2 linked regions of the Lonchura striata genome follow. The protein of the gene in region 2 purifies or fractionates together with the protein of the main gene of each other region. This does not show direct contact. Links are inferred from orthologs where the notes say so. Each region holds a gene or a part of one and is shown on either strand. Other genes may lie near its edges.

Evidence for each region.
Region 1: the proteins of TUBGCP3 (region 2) and NEDD1 purify together in Homo sapiens (affinity purification with mass spectrometry; 3 studies listed by BioGRID and IntAct, with this or other methods). This does not show direct contact. The link is inferred for Lonchura striata from reciprocal best matches to the Homo sapiens genes TUBGCP3 and NEDD1.

What each region holds. Positions count from the first base shown.
Region 1 is NC_134607.1:54,833,528-54,843,004, reverse strand, and holds the start of NEDD1 (protein NEDD1), read right to left. Parts: upstream 4,665-9,477; 5' UTR 4,571-4,664; intron 4,430-4,570; exon of another isoform or gene 4,408-4,429; intron 3,579-4,407; 5' UTR 3,571-3,578; coding exon 3,435-3,570; intron 1,588-3,434; coding exon 1,493-1,587; intron 113-1,492; coding exon 1-112. UniProt on the Homo sapiens protein: Required for mitosis progression. Promotes the nucleation of microtubules from the spindle.
Region 2 is NC_134604.1:91,909,899-91,919,365, reverse strand, and holds the start of TUBGCP3 (gamma-tubulin complex component 3), read right to left. Parts: upstream 3,954-9,467; 5' UTR 3,778-3,953; coding exon 3,702-3,777; intron 1-3,701. UniProt on the Homo sapiens protein: Component of the gamma-tubulin ring complex (gTuRC) which mediates microtubule nucleation.

The sequences.
Region 1 (9,477 bases), on a different chromosome or scaffold from region 2:
GGCTGCGGTAAATCTTTCTGGACTTCAGATCCCAGATATTAACTGTGTTATCAAGGCCTCCACTGACAAGATACGAAGAACTAGAATTCAAGCTCACACATGTCTGTTTTGCCTAATGACAAAAGAAGAAAATGTGTCTTAAAGATATAACGGATTTATTCAAATCTTCTTTCAGGGACTATTGATGAATGTTTCCAATTTCATTAGTACAAACAGTCCCACTGACAGACAGACCTATCTGTACTCTACTGCCATATCCTATCAAAAGGCATTATATATTATATATCAAAAGGACATATATTTAATATACTTTAACATGTAAATATATTAATTACTAAACCTTCAAATACTCGCATTTTCCTATTCCCAGTTTAAATTTTTTGGCACCTTTTCCTCCAATGTGCATTTTCCCTTTAAGTTATAGCTCTGTAAAGAGCAATCATAGTATTTTATTCAGGTACTCAGGTTTCTTTAAAGAAATCCTAAGTTAAAGAAAAAAAACTCTTTAGAAGAAAATCAAGAAAGTTAAGTTACTACTTCACATTCCCTAAACATTACAGGGAATATTATAGCAGCAAACCTCATAATTCAGTTAAGTGGTTCTTTTTAAAATAATCACTGAAGTACCAGTTTTGTAAAAAAAAGGTCAATCTTAATGATAGGCCTACATTGAGAACAAATTATTATTCAGTTCCATCACATTGAAAATTCACTTTTAAGTTCTCAAGATTTGAGTGAAGAAAAAACAAGTCCATCTAATTATTGACATGATAAAATTGCAAGGGATTGCATTAGTTATAGATCAAATTTAGTGAAATCTTCAGGACAAACACTCCACCTTTGAAAGTGTTTGCTTCAGTGCCCTAAAAGCAAGGTTTGAATAACTTTTCAGAAAATTTCCAGTCCAAATTAGCATTACAACAGCTATCCAAGGAGAATAATTAGAATGGCTTAGAACACTAACAAGCTATTTAAGTGACCATGTGAAGAGACTCTTCTAAAACTAAGTCCAGCTTTTTGAAGTGCCACACTTCTTTTTAACTAAGCAAAACAAAAGCCTTGAACACAACACAAATTCTCTTGTTTCTTGCAATGCAAGCTGGCACATGTACGCTCCAAGAACAACCCTTCCATAGACTCTTATATTTTCCAGTGTACAATTCATAGGCATGCAAATACTGACAGCTCAAGCTAGAAAATGAAGTTCAAACTTGAGCTAGTCCATCTCCTACACATTAGATCACATCTGAACCATGACTGCCCCAAGTGATCACATTTCAATAACTGCATCTGTATCTTCTTACTGACAGAGCTGTTTTAAAAGCACTATTGCCCCCAATCTTTATATGTGTTTAACAATACACAAGGAAATGTTTTTATGTACATGTCATAATTCTAACAATACTAAAATTATATTGACCCCAATATGCAGAACAGATGTGAGACACAAAGAATATCAAGTGAACTGGGGAAAAAATGAGGGTATACTTACTCCTTCAGCTATTTCAAAGAGTGGGACAGGTTTGCTTTTACAGCTTGAAACAATTATTTTATCACCAGCAGCAGAAGCAGTAGCCAGGTATCTATCTTTGTCACAAGTTAAGGAACATAATTGTAGGATACTGGTGATTAATACAAGCAACAGGAAGTTTCCCTTATTGAACAGAAGACAGATTGGCTACACAGTCTAAAGCACTGGACCTTGGAGGGACCTAGAAACAGAAACATAAGGCCATTTTCCAAGCTTTCATTAAGAAGCTCTTAAATTAACTACAGCCCTTACTTGCCAATACAAGACAGACAGCAATTTCTTTGATAGAAAAGACGAGAAAAATCTGCCAGGTATTATTTAAGAGCTCTTTACCACTAAGGCAGCTTATCCAGTCTACAATTCTGTTTCCCCACACCCCCAAGTATGAGCACCATTTATCACTAGTTCAAAGGAGTGTCTGTGGCTGTTAGCAGACTATGGATTTAAAGAATGGTCCTGGTCATGACAAATGTCAGACTACTTCACTACACAGTTTCTAGAGTACAAAGAGCAGTTGCCGGTTTCCCCGACTCTGTACTGAGAGAAGAAAAACAAAATCCCAAAAATAACCTGTTATGAATCCAAGTACTCCAAAGTAATAAGAACATTTATAGAATTACAGAGCAGGAAAACTGCATCTCCACCATCACCAAACAAACTGAGTAATCAGTCTTCTGGCCAATGCCCATTGTGACTTTGCATTAGCTCATTAAAGAATAACACAGGTTAATTGGCTGGATTTAACACAACAGAACCAGTAGGCAGAGTAGTGTTTGCTATTGCTGTCACTATTTTACGGCACGTTTGTATAATTTTACATAACTATGCGTAACCAGAACTAATGCTTTATCCTTAACAAGCTAACAAATATTCAGTGTTGGGAGATGAAGAGGAGACTTGATTAAAGCATGTTAAGACAGACTGTAGATAAAAGTTTACTAAACACATACTAGTGTGTATGCATACACATGAAAACATTACATCTGTGCTTCAAATTCTCTGCAAGCTCCATAGCTAAAACATTCATTTGTGTTCCAATTGGTGTAACCTTTTATTCTCATACGTTAACTTTGAGGACAGACATTCAGAACTTGCAGGACTCGTATGCTGTGTGCCAGCATCCTGGCCTCCTACGTCAAGATGAGACACCACCACCTTCTCCTGTGACAGCCACACAAGTCATTTACCTGACAGCCCACTGAAAGTTCTCATATCTTCATCTACCACTTGGCCCCTCGTATCATTATCCAAGACTTCCTTGGCTTCCAAGTCAGAGGTGAAAGACCTAAATGGGTCAGATCCATTTTGATGACAAACCACCACCACCCAGTGAATGTTTTCCTACACAACAATAGGTTTGTGTTTCCTCTCAAAATGCTTACAAAGAATAGAAAGAAAACCAGTGCTTAGAGGTAAATGAACACTATCAATGATTGTCAGAATCAACGAGAAGCTGTCCTATGGAAAAAAAAAAAATAATTATAATTTTCCTCACTATACTATGTATAGAATTTTACTACACCAGCAGTTGCTTTGCTCAAGCTTGTCAGTTAATTAGGCACCATCTTGAAAGCAAACATCATAATCAACTACTGAAGAAACAAATGTGTAAGGTTTACAGTTGGCAGGCAATTCAGGCACATTACAGCCATTAAAAAAGTGTGGGTTCCCGAGCTAAGAAACTTCTTCAGAATTATTTACCATCATGATCTCATTCTGTAAATCTCTTCAGCACAAGGAACCACAAAACTTTGGTCAAAACAGATACCAATATTTTTATGCAAGACTTCAAAATACATCAGGCCTGTGTTTTACAAACATTTCTGTAAAAAAAGGAAAGAAAAAGAAACAGTGGAATTTTGCAGAACACCCACAGAAATATGGCTGAAACTGTAAAGGATACTATTGCTGGCCCAGCACAGTGAACTGACTGGATGTGAGGGCGTATGTGGGTTGAACTGTTCCACCACAGTGAAAGATGAAGAATCCCATATTTTAATATCATCTCCTGATGATGCAAAACGTATGCCTTCTTGCATGGCTGCACCTGTTTTGGCAGAAATAAATTAATAAGTGAAAATACATAAAACTAAAAAATCAACCAGGCAACCTAACAATTCAAAATTACAATTTTAAAAGATACAGTTAAAGTTTTCTTGATAACTGCACCATTTATTTTGAGTTAAACAGTTAGTACCGTTCAGCTGCACACACAAACGAAAGCATCAGACACTCCAAGTTTTTGCTACTTAAACTCCGGAAGGAAACGCGTGGTTTCTTTCTCACAAAGCCAGGCCCTCTACGGCATGAAGAGACTAAAATGAAGCCTTTATCTCCACAGCTCACAGCTGCCTACCAGGAAGCCCTGAGTATCTGAAGGGCCCATTTCCCACCAGCAGATGGGGATATACAAACCAGAATCAAACTGTTGCAGGGCAAGGCGGGCAGTGCGGACCTAAAGGACTCACTTCAGCGTTCATCTCACTACTCCAAAGACATCCGAGAATCCTTTAAACTAAACCTTTGACAGCAGAATACAAGCGACAGCGAGTCACCTTACATCGCACCTTACAAAACATTACGAACCAAAAAGGCCAAGAGCATTGTACTGCTACTTATTTTGAGTGACACCTTTTAAGACTTCAAGCCAGGTTAACCGGTGCCTGGTTTGAAGCGCTGACTCTCAGCTTTTTACTCCTGATAATTTTAAACTATCAACAGACGAGGACTATAAACGTGAGCTTTCCCTTCAGCTGAGAACACAAACGCCCCTTGGCCAAAGCTTGCGGGACGCTTCACACAGCTTTAGGCCATTCATTCTTACTGCCGGGACTGTTAACACTCAAAACTGCACAAGAAGTTCAGGGTCCACATACGCCTTCAGTGGGCAGCAGCCCGCGGGGCCGCGCTGCCGCCTCACACAGAGCTCGCCTCCCGCCGCGGAGGCCGCGGGAGGAGCCGCCCGGCGCACCCCGCCCCTCGCCACCGCCCGGCCCCGGCCCCGGCCCGCTCCCGCGCTCTCCCCGCGGCACCGCGCACCTGGCCGGGCGGGCACCGGGCCGAGCCCGCGCTGCTCGCCCCGAGGCCCGGCCCAGCGCCGCCTGAGGGACGGGCCCGGCCCGGCTCCGGCTCCGCCCGCCCCGCCGGGCCCGGCTTGCCGCGCCGCGCCCGAGTTCACGCGCCCCGTCCCGGCAGCCCCCGCGCGCCGCTGCCCGCGCTACGGCGGCGCGGAGGGGCCGCGCGCGGGCGGGGCGGGGCGGGGCGGGCAGGGCGGGGGCCCGGCAGCGGCTGAAGGGCGGGGCGCGGGCCGCGCTGAGAACCCGCCGGAGCGGGCTGAGGGGCGCCGCCTCTGCCGCGTTTGGAGATTCCAGCGCTGAGCAAAAGGCGTCCGGCTGCATCTGGGGTCTCCGCACATCTGGGACACCGGGACATCACGGCGACAGAGCGCAATAAATGATAGCAGTTAATGCATCACTCCTGTAACAGCGAGTAATAGAGAACTGCGGCGTCTGTGTCCTGACTTGCAATAGAACTGTTACCCTGGTCATGCTGAAATTTACAGGAGGAGGGACTTTGTTGTTATTTTCATCCGGTAAAATAAAAGGTAGCAGTGCTTCGCGGTGATACATGTTTGCACTCCTGCTTTCTACCCCAAAACACAACAACATATACTAAATTCAAAGATATATTCCACGTGGAACTTTAACAAAATTTTCTGTAGAGATCTGCCTTTGAGCGAGGCTTCACCCTGTGTACCCTCAGAGCCAGTCGAGCTGAAATGCCTGATTTACTTTCCTTTTCTGATGGAGTCTTGATTTTCCAAGTTCATTTAATATCTAGTCTCTGGAAATGCACTCAGAATCAGGAGAAAATAAATCATGGCACTGTTACAAAAAATGCCATTATTTCCCTACAGCATTGAGGATCATGTCTTTATTGCATCTATTAATCCTCATTAACCAATCATTAGTTATAATTTATATCTTCAACCACCTGCCTTCTCAGCTGAGTGTTAAGGGATCCACAGCATTCCTGCAAGTTTTCTACTCTCGCTCCATTTTAGAGTCCTAATTTGCTACTAAACCTGTCATGTTTCACTTCTGAGCCCAGCACTTGTTATTCCATTCTAGCTTCAGTACAGAGAGAATCTAAAGCCTTTTCTTTACCACAGCCATATCCTTTGGCTTTTTTTCCTTATCTCCTCACAGTGGAGCATAATTGTTTTTACAGACAGATAGGAGAGCACCTGCCTGACAAGCCCTGAAGCCTTGAACAATTAACAATTTGGGGGATTTTAAGTAAACACGATCAGCATGTTTTCCTTCATTCTGTAACAGGCCCTCAGTTAAATCAATTTTTCCTGCTGGCAGGACCTTTGCTGGCATTTTTTTTATGCCAGTGCCTGTGCTGTGCTTGTTCTTGGTATTTGCAAGGAACCACTGGGACACGTTGGTGCATTCCATTTGTGGAAAGGATCACAGCTCTAAGCCCAACCATTAAAGCCAAAGTGGTGTTATTGCTGAAAGGCCATCGGTGCAAGGCAGAGCATTCCCAGCAATTGTGCAAGGCTGTAAAAGCAGTGGGAGTGTGAGCAATACACAGGTGAAGAGAGACAAAAATAGTTTATATAATATTTTAACTGTATTATTACGACTATTATTATTACAACTTTTTCCACATAGAAATATTCTTTCTTTTCCCGTAATAATTAGACCTGGATAACAATTCTTGGATTAGGCTAAGATTTCAATTATGCTAATACATTTTGCCTTTAAACATACATAGGTTTCCTCTTTGCCCATAAAAAAGTTTTTCATTGTAGAGGCAGTGACATTAGGTTCTGAAGGATAAGCCACAGAGTTCCAGGGAATAAGAGCAGTCAGGACACTAGGGAAAAAAAGACATTAATTTCTTTATGGTTATAATAATTTTTTAGAGTGGTTTGGAAACCACTTAAAAGTTGGTATTATCCCATTTGGTAGTGGAACCATAGGAATGTGATAATGGGATAGAGATAACTAATACATTATATGATGATAAAATATATACAGTAATTTCATATGATAGACAGGATCTTGACTTTCTCTGCTAGCTCTGCTGTATAGTAGCTGTATGATGCCAGAATTCACAGGGAATGAAGAAATCATCACTGCCAAAAAGCAAGGAGCTTTGCCTAGGGCATTGAAATTTTTAGGTGGTTGCTGAAATGTACTTTTCAACTCTGAATGTCTGGCCAGGAGCTAAACCAGCCCTGTAGGTGCTCTGTGTTTTCAGAGACTTTCACCCTCCACACAGAACTATAGGGCTGGCTCAGTCAGCTCATGATTATTTTGTAGGTAGCGCATCTGGTTCCACACCGAGTTTTGGTGCCATTTGCTTCAGCACAGCCTTTCTTTTTTTTCTTTGCACATTAAGTAGAATCCTAAATCATGCTGAGATGGTAGATAAATGAGAATAATTCTAATTAGCTCTGGGGTTTCAAAGTAGAAAATTAAATTGCAGTGGTAAATATTTGACTTCAGCACTTGCCTCTGGACCCTTTCACCCACTCTGTTTAAAAGATTAACCTATGCTTCATATTTTCACTTTTCTCATTTAATGATGTTCTCAGTATCTTTAACTCAAAGAAAACCTTTGGCAAGCATAAATGCATCTCTCTGCTGGTTTAATTAGTTCAGCATATTAGCCAACAATTAATTCTAACTCCATCATTATTCTTTTAAAGAATCTTCCTTCTCGGATTTCACTGAAATGGACTGGAAACAAATGATTGTTCCATTACAGTGTGTCTCAACTGAATAATAATATAAATAGCCTTCCTCTTTCATTCAAGGATCTGAAAATATTTTCCAAATGTTGTTGCAGAAAACTTAAAATCCCTCACTGATGAGGGGATTACTGTTATCTTCAGATAAAGAAACTGAGGCATAGTGAGGGTAATTACTAGGATTATTTTGTTAGATTGATGTCATCCAGAAAATGAATATATACTTTGGACAACAAAAAATTGTGAATTGTAGCAGAGCTGTAGTGGAATTTAAAAACCAGTCACATGCAATTGGATAAATCTGTGTGAAATTACTGATTTCCACATCATAAAATTAATTTAACCAGAAATAATTTCAAGTTACTGTATATTTGTAGGCATGAGAAATCCTGTGAATGCCTTGAATGTAGAACATCTTTCAAGGCACCAATATAATTTAAAACTATATTGAAAGAGTATTTGAAAACTGAAATATTCTAAAATCCATTCAGACCTTTCACTGTTAAGCTCCCTGTTCAAATTCAATTTGAGGTCCAGCATGCTCTTGATGATAAAATTTTTAATTACAGGACCAGAAGCTGTTTTTTTTCTCAGTGTTTTTGCTTCATTCAGTTCACATAACAGAAAATACTGAAATATTTTTAAAACCCCAAACACCTCCTTTTACTATAGGTCTTTCTTGTCCCACACTTGATGGGATGGACTGAAGATAAAATGTCATTGTTTTCAGAATCTTTCAATTTCTCCCCAAAGTGTGCTTTCTCTCTATTTTTTTTTCTCTCTCTCTTCCCTTGCCCCATCCCTCGATTTATTAGATAGAGAAGCACTATCCATTCCTTCCACAGATGTAGAATGGAGAAATATTTCAGTTAAAATTTGAAAATAATTGGTAAACATGCCAGGGGTTCAAAGCTGTCAATAGTAGCTCTTTGGCATTGTTGTATGGGGCAGATCATAGAGAGGAACTTCCCATAGCAGGAAGATCTTCCCTTACAAAGTGAAATCTTCCTTCCTCCTCTTCCTTTTTAATTTTGGAAACAGTGACACAAGTAGATTCTATACAAATCTAATTCAGCATGGTGTTGACACAAATCTATTGTGCTTTCACATATTGAAGGCTTTAGTCTCCATTTACTGCTAAGGACAAAAACCTCACCCAACTACTGCAATACATAACCAAGAAACAATTTGCTTTGCAATTGCTTTTATACTTTTTTTTTCTGTGTGATTACTGGAGACATTCAGGTATGAGCTTCCCTCCCTACAAGCAGTTTTTAACTAAAGAGTTTAATTATATGCTAAAAGAAAAATGTTTTCTCCAATGTTTCTTCTAAAACCTGCATTGAATATTTTATCTTGTGTTTATAAGAATAAAATCTGCTGCTATGGATACAGTGAGGTCAACATTTTAATGTTATTATTTCACTGTGCTGTGTGTTAAAGGATAATATTCTTCTTTAAAACAAAAATCTCAGAAAATATGTATTATAGGAAAGTAAGTATAGTAATGTATTTTAAATGAATAGGTAAAGGCTTTTATTTAATATTTCTCTTTCAAGTATAGGAAATATAACAAGGTCCAAACAGGCAGCACTGAAAAAACACATTGTCTGTAATAGAACTTCTCTTCCATTTTCACCTGATGCTATAGCATGTTTTACAAATATTAATTAAGCTGTATAAAAGTCCTAAGATAATCCTCAAGGTGACCCCCCCCCCAAAAAAAAAAAAAAAAAGATAGATTTTTAGTTTGTTCAAAACACAACAAAAGACAGAACACCTTGTTGGTTTGTTTTGTAAAAGCTGTAATTTCCTACTTGTTCCTTGTAAAAGAAAAATGAGTAATGTCAATTTTTATCTTTCTTGCTTTTTGAAAAACTGCAGAATAATAAATTATTTTAACGAAAGAATAATGCTAAGGAGTGTCTCCTCCAAACTGGCTGTTAGGCAGTCAAGTTAAATAAACATACTAACTCAGTTTTTAAATTGTCTTGCAAAAATAACTGCCCTATCAATTACTCACTTTTCCCTTTCTTTACACCACTGTATCATTATCCTTCTAATTTTCCTACTACCTACAGCATTCCAGAAAAGTGTACACAAAATAAAAAACAGCTCACCTTTTAAACAGCTACACATAATGCAAATACATCCAGTCTTCTTTTTTTTTTATAGGACC
Region 2 (9,467 bases):
AGTTTGCTTCAAAAAAGAGGATGTGTCTATAGAAAACAGCCTAACTTGACCAGGAGCAAAGAAGCTGCACACAGACCACTAACCACACACTAATACCTTACTTTGAACTCATCCTGTGCTAAAAGGAACAAGAATCACAAGCCTAAAAAACAGCGAGATGCTGAACAGCTTGTGGGTTCCTTACCGCCTTCAGATACTGCATCTTCCTCAACACAGAGGATGCTAGTGCTAACAGAATTACTTCATTGTCTTTTATGTATTCCTTGGACATAGATTATCAGGAGGTGGGAAAAAAACCACCACACACACCTTTCATGACTAAGACTTTCACAGAATTTTTAATTTATCAGTCTCTATGCATTTGAAGTCCACAACTGAGCTAACATACATACTACAGTTGACTGCTTCAAGGAAAATCCTATCTCAGAAGGGTGAGGTTTCAGCACTAGCATCCTTCTTAACACAGGAATGAAGAGCATGGTAAGAACAGGCTTCCCATCTGTCACATGCATTAAAACATGGGTGATAAATGTGGCAGACAACCCACTTTTTTTCAGCTGTCACTTCAAAGAAGTCCTCATATAATCCTCAAGTGCGCAGACGAGCAGGCTACAGGTTGAACACTGAAAGCTCCTGTGATTTTGGCCGAAATTTCCACTTTCATTAGTCAAACACAGAAAGGATTGTAGCTACAGTACCAGAATCCCAACACACATAAACAGGTTCAACATTTTAAAAAACATAAATACCCAATTCTCTTGCATGTTTTTGTACATACTGCATGTAAATAAAATTATTATTCCAGTCAGGAGATACAGAGAGGTATCAACACTATGACTTCAAAAAAAAAACTAGATCCTAAGTTGTTAAAAGTGAGCCATCTCACCTGAATACTCATACTTCAGTTGATACTCAGAAGTTTCTACTTCTGCTCTCATGCTCTGTTTAACTTTTTAAAGTATCACAGACCTAGATAACACTAAGAAACAAGCTTAGATTGAGTTTAGATTAGACTCCAAATCTAAGAAAAGAGTAATGAAGAAAACAGGACTAGACATTATAGAAATAATGGCCTTGAAAAGACATCCACTAAAGCAATATAATCTATTTTCCTTTTTTTTTTTTTTAATTTGTTTTTGGAAATAGACCTAGTAATTAGCACAATAATTTGAGATTTCTGGTAGCAAATGTTTGAAATACTCTTAAACAAGAACATATATTAATTGTATCAGAAAAAAGTTTCTGAAAAATGTTAAAGGCAAGAAAGAGCTTTAAAAAAAAAAGCTAGAAGAGCACCTTAGAACTGTAGTCTGATGTAAAGTATCCTTTAAAATACAGTTAAAACACCTGCTAAAAGAAAGATGTGGTTACAGAAGAACACAAGAGGCATTAAACCATTAAGAAACTACTGCTGATTTGGTGGACATGGAAAACTAGAAATTTGCCACATTCTGATAAAATCTTATAACAGGAATTCCTGATACAGAAATACTATAGATTCTGGGGAAAAAAATACTGTCTTGCAGAAGACTTAAAAATGCAATGGAGAAGGAAAAGATTTTGAAAAACAAAACATAGCAATCAACAGCTATTGATATTAGAATTATTCACGTTGAAAAAGACCCTTAATATCGTAGAGTTACACAGAGTGTTTTCTGTGAAGGAGTCCCCTACTCAACAGGTCAGTGAAGACAAAGTTTCCAATTTCCTACCAACTTTACCAAGGTTCTCAGATGAATCACAAGATGGTTTGGACTGGATGGGACTTTCAAAGACCATCTAGTCCACTTTCCCTGACATGGGTAGGGACATCTTTCACTTGATCAGGTTGCTCAAAGCCCCATTCAATCTGGCCTTGAACATTTCCAAGGATGGGATTCACAAAGCCTCTGGGCAACCTGTTCCAGTGCCTCACAACCCCAACTGTAAAAACTTTATTCTCTGTGTCCAATCTAAACATACCCTATAACTGTTTAAAGCCATTGCCCCTTGTTCTGTCACTTTAGGCCTTGGTTAAACATGTCTTTCTTATAAGCCCTCTCTAAGCACCGCAAGGCCACAGTGACATCTCTGAGCAGAGCCTTCTCCAGGATCAACAGCCCGAACTCTCTCAGATCTGCTTTGTAGGAGAGGTTCTCCATTCCTCTCACCACTTCCATGGCACTCCTCTGGACCTGCTCTAATACATCTACATCCTTTCAGAACTGGGGGCCCCAGAGCTGAATACAGTACTGCAGATGGGGTTTCACAAAAGCAGAGCAGTGAGGGGAGGATCACTGCTCTCTACCTGCTGTCCATGCTTCTTTTTAAGGAGCTCAGAATATGCTGACCAGGATACACATTACTGCCTCATGTCCAATTTTTCATCCACTCCCCACATCCTTCCCTGCAGGACTGCCCTCAATCCACTTATTCCCCATTCTCAACAGATATTGGGGATTGCCTCAACTCACGGGCATAAGCTTGAGGTTTACACAGGTGTGCTCCTCAAGGCTGTCAAGGTCTTTCTGCATGGCACTACCTTCCCTCAGCACATCACCTGCACTGCTCAGCTTGGTGTCATGTGCAAACCTTCCAAAGGCACTCTCAAGCCCACTGTCTATGTTATTAATAAGATATTGATCATGATTAATCCCAATACAGACCTCTGAGGGACACCACTTGCTACTGATCTTCATTCCGACATTGACACAGTGACTACAACTCCTTGGATGTGGCCATGCTACCAGTTTCAGTTCCTCATTCACTAAACAGTTCATCCATTAAGCCTATAGCTCTCCAACTGAGAGATAACGACGGGGTGTGAGACCATGCCATGCTGTCTGCAACAGATGGGAACAAAGTCTGAGAAACAGACAATATATGTATCTGCATCTTGTTACACACTTTCTAGAGTCCTAAACTAGCAATAATCCACATGTAGGCCATGTTCAAGTAATTTATTACAACAGGTAATGCTCAAAAGTCTTAGTTACTGTCCTGGAAATATCTAAAGGGATTTTTCAGAAGAAAGGGGCATGGAGAGAGAAAAGAATAAGAGACCTGATGGACACTACTAATAAGGGAGAAAGCCATCTCTCATACAAGAAAAAAGATGCAATAAAAGCTTCTGCATGAGTTTATCTAGCGAGCCACGCTGATAAACAGAGCAATTTAAAAAGAAGACTCCGCAGATGCACGCCTTCCTTTCCACCCCTCCGACTGCTTACTAAAAACAGTCTTCGCCTTAACTGCAAGGGAGAAACTTAGGCAAACAGACAAGAGATTCATTGCCCTGCGGGAGACTCACAGCAGCATCAAGACACGAGGACCTGTAGCGGACCTGGCGCACGTCTATGGCTCCTCTCGAGCAGGCACCGGCGGGAGGCGGAGGTTCCTCAACCCGAACACGGAGCCCCCTTTCGCCCAAACCCCCGGCACGGGTGCCCCGCTCCCCGAGGAGGACAGCGCCTTCAGCAGCCGGCCAAAGGCTCCGGGGGAGCCGGAGGAGGGCACGGAGCCGTCTCCAGCCGCCTCCCGCCGCAGGGCTCCGGCTCGCAGGGCCGCTGCCGTGCCCGGCCCCTCGGCATTTCCCGGGCTGTCACCCCCGGGCCGGGAGGTGACGCTCCCTGCCGAGGGGCCCGGCACCTCTCCAGCCCTGCCGGGGCAGCCCCCGCGGGCTCCGAGCGCTGCCGCCGGGCGATGGCGGGGGACGCCGTTACCTTCGCTCTTGCCCAGGATGCGGCAGCAGAGGCTCTGCAGCAGAACGTTGGGGGATTTTTGGTCCGGAGTCGCCATCGCCGCGCGGGATGCAGGAGCGGCGGCAGGGCCGGAGCAGGGCGGGTTGGCGGAGGGAAGGAGGGGCCGGGACGCGCGGCGGCAGCGCAGGGACCGGGCGGCACCTCCCGCTCCCGCCTAGGGCGCCATTTTCACGGGACCCGCCGAAAGCCGCAGCCGCGGCCGCACGCCCACAATGCCCCGCGCGGCGGTTCCGGGGCGGGCCCGCGCCGCCTCCGCGCCTGGGCGCCGGCCCGGGTGCCGGCAGCCGCCCGCCCTCACAGCGCGCGGTCTGCGGCGCGGTCTGCGGCGGGGCCGGCGTGCCGGCGTGCCCGAGTGCCGGCGTGCCCGAGTGCCGGCGTGCCGGAGTGCCGGAGTGCCGGCGTGCCGGAGTGCCCGAGTGCCGGAGTGCCCGAGTGCCGGCGTGCCCGAGTGCCGGCGTGCCCGAGTGCCGGAGTGCCGGAGTGCCCCAGTGCCGGCGTGCCCGAGTGCCGGCGTGCCCGAGTGCCGGCGTGCCGGAGTGCCCGAGTGCCGGAGTGCCCGAGTGCCGGAGTGCCCGAGTGCCGGAGTGCCCGAGTGCCCGAGTGCCGGAGTGCCCGAGTGCCGGAGTGCCCGAGTGCCCGAGTGCCGGAGTGCCGGAGTGCCCGAGTGCCGGCGTGCCCGAGTGCCGGAGTGCCCGAGTGCCCGAGTGCCGGAGTGCCCGAGTGCCCGAGTGCCGGAGTGCCCGAGTGCCGGCGTGCCCGAGTGCCCGAGTGCCGGAGTGCCCGAGTGCCGGAGTGCCCGAGTGCCCGAGTGCCGGAGTGCCCGAGTGCCGGAGTGCCCGAGTGCCCGAGTGCCCGAGTGCCGGAGTGCCGGAGTGCCGGCGTGCCCGAGTGCCGGAGTGCCCGAGTGCCGGAGTGCCCGAGTGCCCGAGTGCCGGAGTGCCCGAGTGCCGGAGTGCCCGAGTGCCGGCCTTCTCCGGCCACCGCGGGCAGGAGCGAAAAGCCTTGATGGTGGGCTGCCAGAGGCCTTCGGATGTGGGGTTGCGGAACGTAGACACGGATGCAGAGTAGTCCTCTTGCCAAAAGAGGTTCTTTAACCCGGTGTGCTAGAGGCTAATACACACAGAGTCGAGGTATTTGATTTATTTACAGTTCTGCACTGAAAGGGGTCCTGGGTAGCAAATTCGCAAAGCCCAACCATCAAAAGCTTTTTTTACTATCATCCTAACTATCAAAATATTTTACTATTTATCCATTTTAGTAAACAAAGGAATTAATGTTTCTTGGCTACAAGTTACGTAGTTCTGTTCTTAATTAGTATTCTATATTCTATATTCATGGTTCCATTGCTTCTCATCCTTATTAGTCCACATTTTCAGTCTTCTTTTGAGAGTCGGTGGCTGTGAGTCAGGGGTCACAATCTCGTCCTGCCAGAATTACCTTTTACCCAGTCGGAGCTGATTTCAGCACAGTTGCTGAGTTTGCTTTGTTATTTACTTCTTGATCTTGGAAGTTCTGCTAGATGTCCTTGTGACATCTCAATTCTGCATTCTTTGTGTGCACCGTCAGTGGTATATTCTTCTTCCCAAGTTTGGTTAACCTCCCCCGGGTCTGAGGTCATTGAAACATATCGAGCCCTAACCTTAACAAAGCAATTCTTCCAACAACTAATTTGTCTTTCTAACACCTGGACATTGCTTACAGCTTCTTAGTTGCTCTCTGTTTCACAGATTAAATCTCCTTTTCTTGTTGTTGTTTAGGCTTGAAAGTATACAAAGATCAAACAGCAGAGAACACCCTTTCTTCAGAAATATTTACATATTCCACATTTTGCAACAATCCCACAATAGCCATAAGTGCTACATACAGACATCCTCACAAACATAACATAAAAGCGCTGAAAAGGAACATAGCCAGGGAAAAGAAAAATTCTAAAGTATAAACTGAGGGAATGACAGGAACAACCATTAGATTGTTGAAACTCAATTCTTTTTTGTTATTTACCCATTAAATTTTGCCCAATTACATCACTACCTTATATTTTACATTCAAAGCCGGCTAACTACACAAATGGTTTAAGATGAAGATATTCACCTTGTTACGAATTTTTACTAGAGATTTCCCAACTAAATTTGAAGATCTCACAGGTATCTAAGGGTTTTGCCCCCACACTCCATAGAAGTAATTGAACATGGTGAATGAATTACTTATGGGCAGGGCAGGTTCACTTACTCCCCCCAGAGAACAGGCTGGGGTGGCTGCATTTCTGTGATTTGCTGCCTTGGGGATCGAGGCTCATTTGTGGCTTTTCCACACAAAGTAATTACAAATCAGGGTGGGTCTGGAAAAATGTGTGAGGATCCTAGACCCACGTGTCCATGTCCTGCTGTGCTGTGCAGCTGGGTGTCCTCAGTCCCTGTGGAGGGCCTGGGCTCTGCCTGCTGGGCAGCACTGGGACCAGGGACAGCACGCTCACAGCTGGTCTGCTCTGCTCCCTGTGACCTGCTCCTCAGGCTTGTCACCCCTAGCACAGACACTGATGTTACCAGGTGTCTGAGTTCTATCTCTTCAGTAAATTCATGCTGTGTCCAGCCCAAAAGGCATACTTAGGAAGTAATTATTACCCTTGTGCTGCTGGAATCCTGTGTAACCTGTGACTGGAAATGCTGCAGCAGCAGCAGCCAGGTGGGCTTGGTGCACTGCTGGCTGTGAAATCATTCCTGCTGTGCAACGCGTGGCTTTCTGACAGCTCCCCTTGGCTTCACTGTTTCCATAGCCACAATTTTGTGTGTATGCTTTCTGCAGGCATGTAGACATGGCCTTTCATTATGGGAACATTACAGATGTAAACATCAGCTCATTGCTAGCATGACTGCTAGAAACAAATCACAGTGGCAAGCCAAGAACTGAAACACATTGAGGATGTATGGCAATTTGTTGCTTGGCATATACTAGTAGAAACCTTCATAGTCTAATTACTCACACTAGAACTCTTCAGTTCTTAGTGATACATTCTTTGCATTTTTTAAAGAAGTAAAATAGGACCCAAAATGAATAAAGTTACCAGAACTTTACCCTATGTAAATATGAATTGTAAGCTTAATTTTCAATAATTCTGAAGTAAAGGCTTCAAAGATGGTATAAGCTTGTAAGCTTTCTTTGTTTTTTTTTTTTTTTGGTACTGAACAGCAGAAGAGTCTCTGTTCCATTTTTCTGCCCAAAGCACACGCAGTTGTGCTACAAAGGGCTGGTGACTCACCACTGCTGCTAGTCACTTCAGATTTTAGATTCCACCGTGGAAGGTGTTAATCTAGCAAGCAGCAAATATGGTTCTCACATGAGGCAAAAGAAATAACCTCGGCAATTATATCTGGAAGTGGTATTCCTTTATAAAACCTTAACATTCCAAGGGAATCCAGTCACTGACAAATATCCTGCTACTGCTTTTAAGTGGATATTACTTTCTGGTCACACTAGTTCATTTTAACTAAAGCAATTGTGTCACTGGTCTGAAATCAGAACACATTACAGAGCAGCATGATGAGAAAATGCCATTGAAATGGGTGTGCTCATTGCCTCCTGCAAGCAGCAGTAAAAACACAAACCCAAGCTTTTCAACTTCAACACAACCACATGCTATGTTATGTCACACTATGAAGTAGTGTGATAGCCAGCCATTCTGTTACATTACTGAGAATGTATTCTCTCATTTCTAGTCTCTTTTTCCTAAGAAATGAGGTTTAATGCAGTTATTCTGTATGTCAGTGCCTCCTCATAACTGCTGGATCTCATCACCAATTTTAAAGAAATTCAGCAGAGGCATAGAGTTTTTAAGGATATAAGTAAAATTGAATGGAATTCAGCAGCTGAGAGTACCAAGGCTTAAGTCAGTCCCCCTTTGAAAAAGAAAGGTATGGGGAACTTACTTCTCCCTGCTGTTTGCCCTTAGCAAAGCAGCTGATTGGTGTGTACACACCCTGGACAGATAGACACACATCCTAGCTCCAATCCACCTACAGTACCAGCTCTGCTTGCCCAGCTTGGTGGATGGATGATTTAAGAACTGAAAGTGGAAGGGACTGGAACTCTGAACATAATGCGGAAAATGGTCAGAAAGAGACAAGACGAATGGAAAATAGAAGGAAACTAAATTTGATTAGTGTCATTCCTCACAGACCTCCTTGTTTGTTTTGTAATAGAAAGAATGAATCCTAAAATCCTGTTTAGAAATGCTAATTCTGATAGAGCAGGTTGCTAGCACATGAAATTCATTGTGGTTTTATGAACTCTGGTACAGCTATGACTGCTTAAATCAGCTTAAAAAAATCACATTACCAATGAGAAAAAGAAATATAAACTACTTTCTTACTGTATAGCTATAAGCTTAGTTCACCTTTCTGCTTGGTCTCTCAACCATTGGACAATTAAAAAAAAGTTACTGCTGCTCAGATTTTTCACAGTATAGAGTGTTCATCAGTTAGCAGAGTTAAATGTGTGTTTTTAAAATTATCACAGTATCTTACAAGAAAATCAGCTCATCCTTAGAAGGTCAAAGGGACTTGTGTTTCAGATCTGCTACTTAAAGATCATATTTCTGATAGTAAATAGTTTTATAAGGAAAGAACATGCCATCAGATCCAGCAGGAGGTGGAAGCTGAAGCTTGCCAAAGTAAGGCTAGAAATAAATGACAGTTTTAATTAAATAAGGATATTCACTCACTAGAGATAGATATTTAAAAGCATGGCTTTATTAATACCTGAAACATTTTAAATCACCCTTCTGGTACAGGCCTAGTCAGATATGAACTGACATGGGAGCTGCTGAATTATGTTTCCATTCTGCACAAGCTCAGAAGCTCAGTCTGCAGTGTATCATTGTCTACTTCAATCTTAAATAGTCTAAATCAAATCAATAGTACTAAGCAAAAAAAAAAAAAAAATCTTATCCTTACAAAAAAACTAAGGGTTAATTGTGCTGGTTTTGTGAACTCTTCTTTGGTTATGCCTACAGGGCACAATACCTTAGACACACCAAAAGCAGTAGGGAATCATTCTTAACACCTCCAGCATTTCACTGTTCTGAACAGATTTTTTTATGTGTCATGTAGCCAATGTTAAGAATTACAGTGGCTGGAAATAGGGATGGATACTGCCTGTGCCTTAGCTAGCATATGGCTGCCCTGGAAGTACAGCAGCTGGGCCTCTTCTGGCTCCAGCACCATGTGGTTTCTGCCCCTAAGCATGTATTTTCCACATAGGCAATCTCAATATGGCCTAGAGCTATGCTGTGTCTGCAGCATTAAAAGGGTATTAGACTGATCTAATTTTTGAAAGGCCATATGTTTTTGGATGATATTCTGTGACTCAGTTGCAGATAGATGTCCCTGTGCACAAGTGCAGCTCAGATGAAGAGAGCATTTAATCCAGTTTAACCCTCTTGCTCATGTTAGTTCTGCATTGCAGCCTATTTGTTGTGAATTTCATTATATCGATACCACTTCTCCATTTTCAAACTCTGGACTTCAGCTGTTCCCCTATTGACTAGGGAACCTGAAGTACATTCCATAATGCCATATACTTACAGAAAGTCTACTGAATTGGTGTTAGTCTATCAAAAAAGAAACTTCTGTTTCCCTATACTTAAAGAGAGGCCAGAAACTATGATTTAAGCTATGTAAGAGCAAAACAAAGATATATTTTTTTTTTAATTTGGGATTTTTATTCAACACT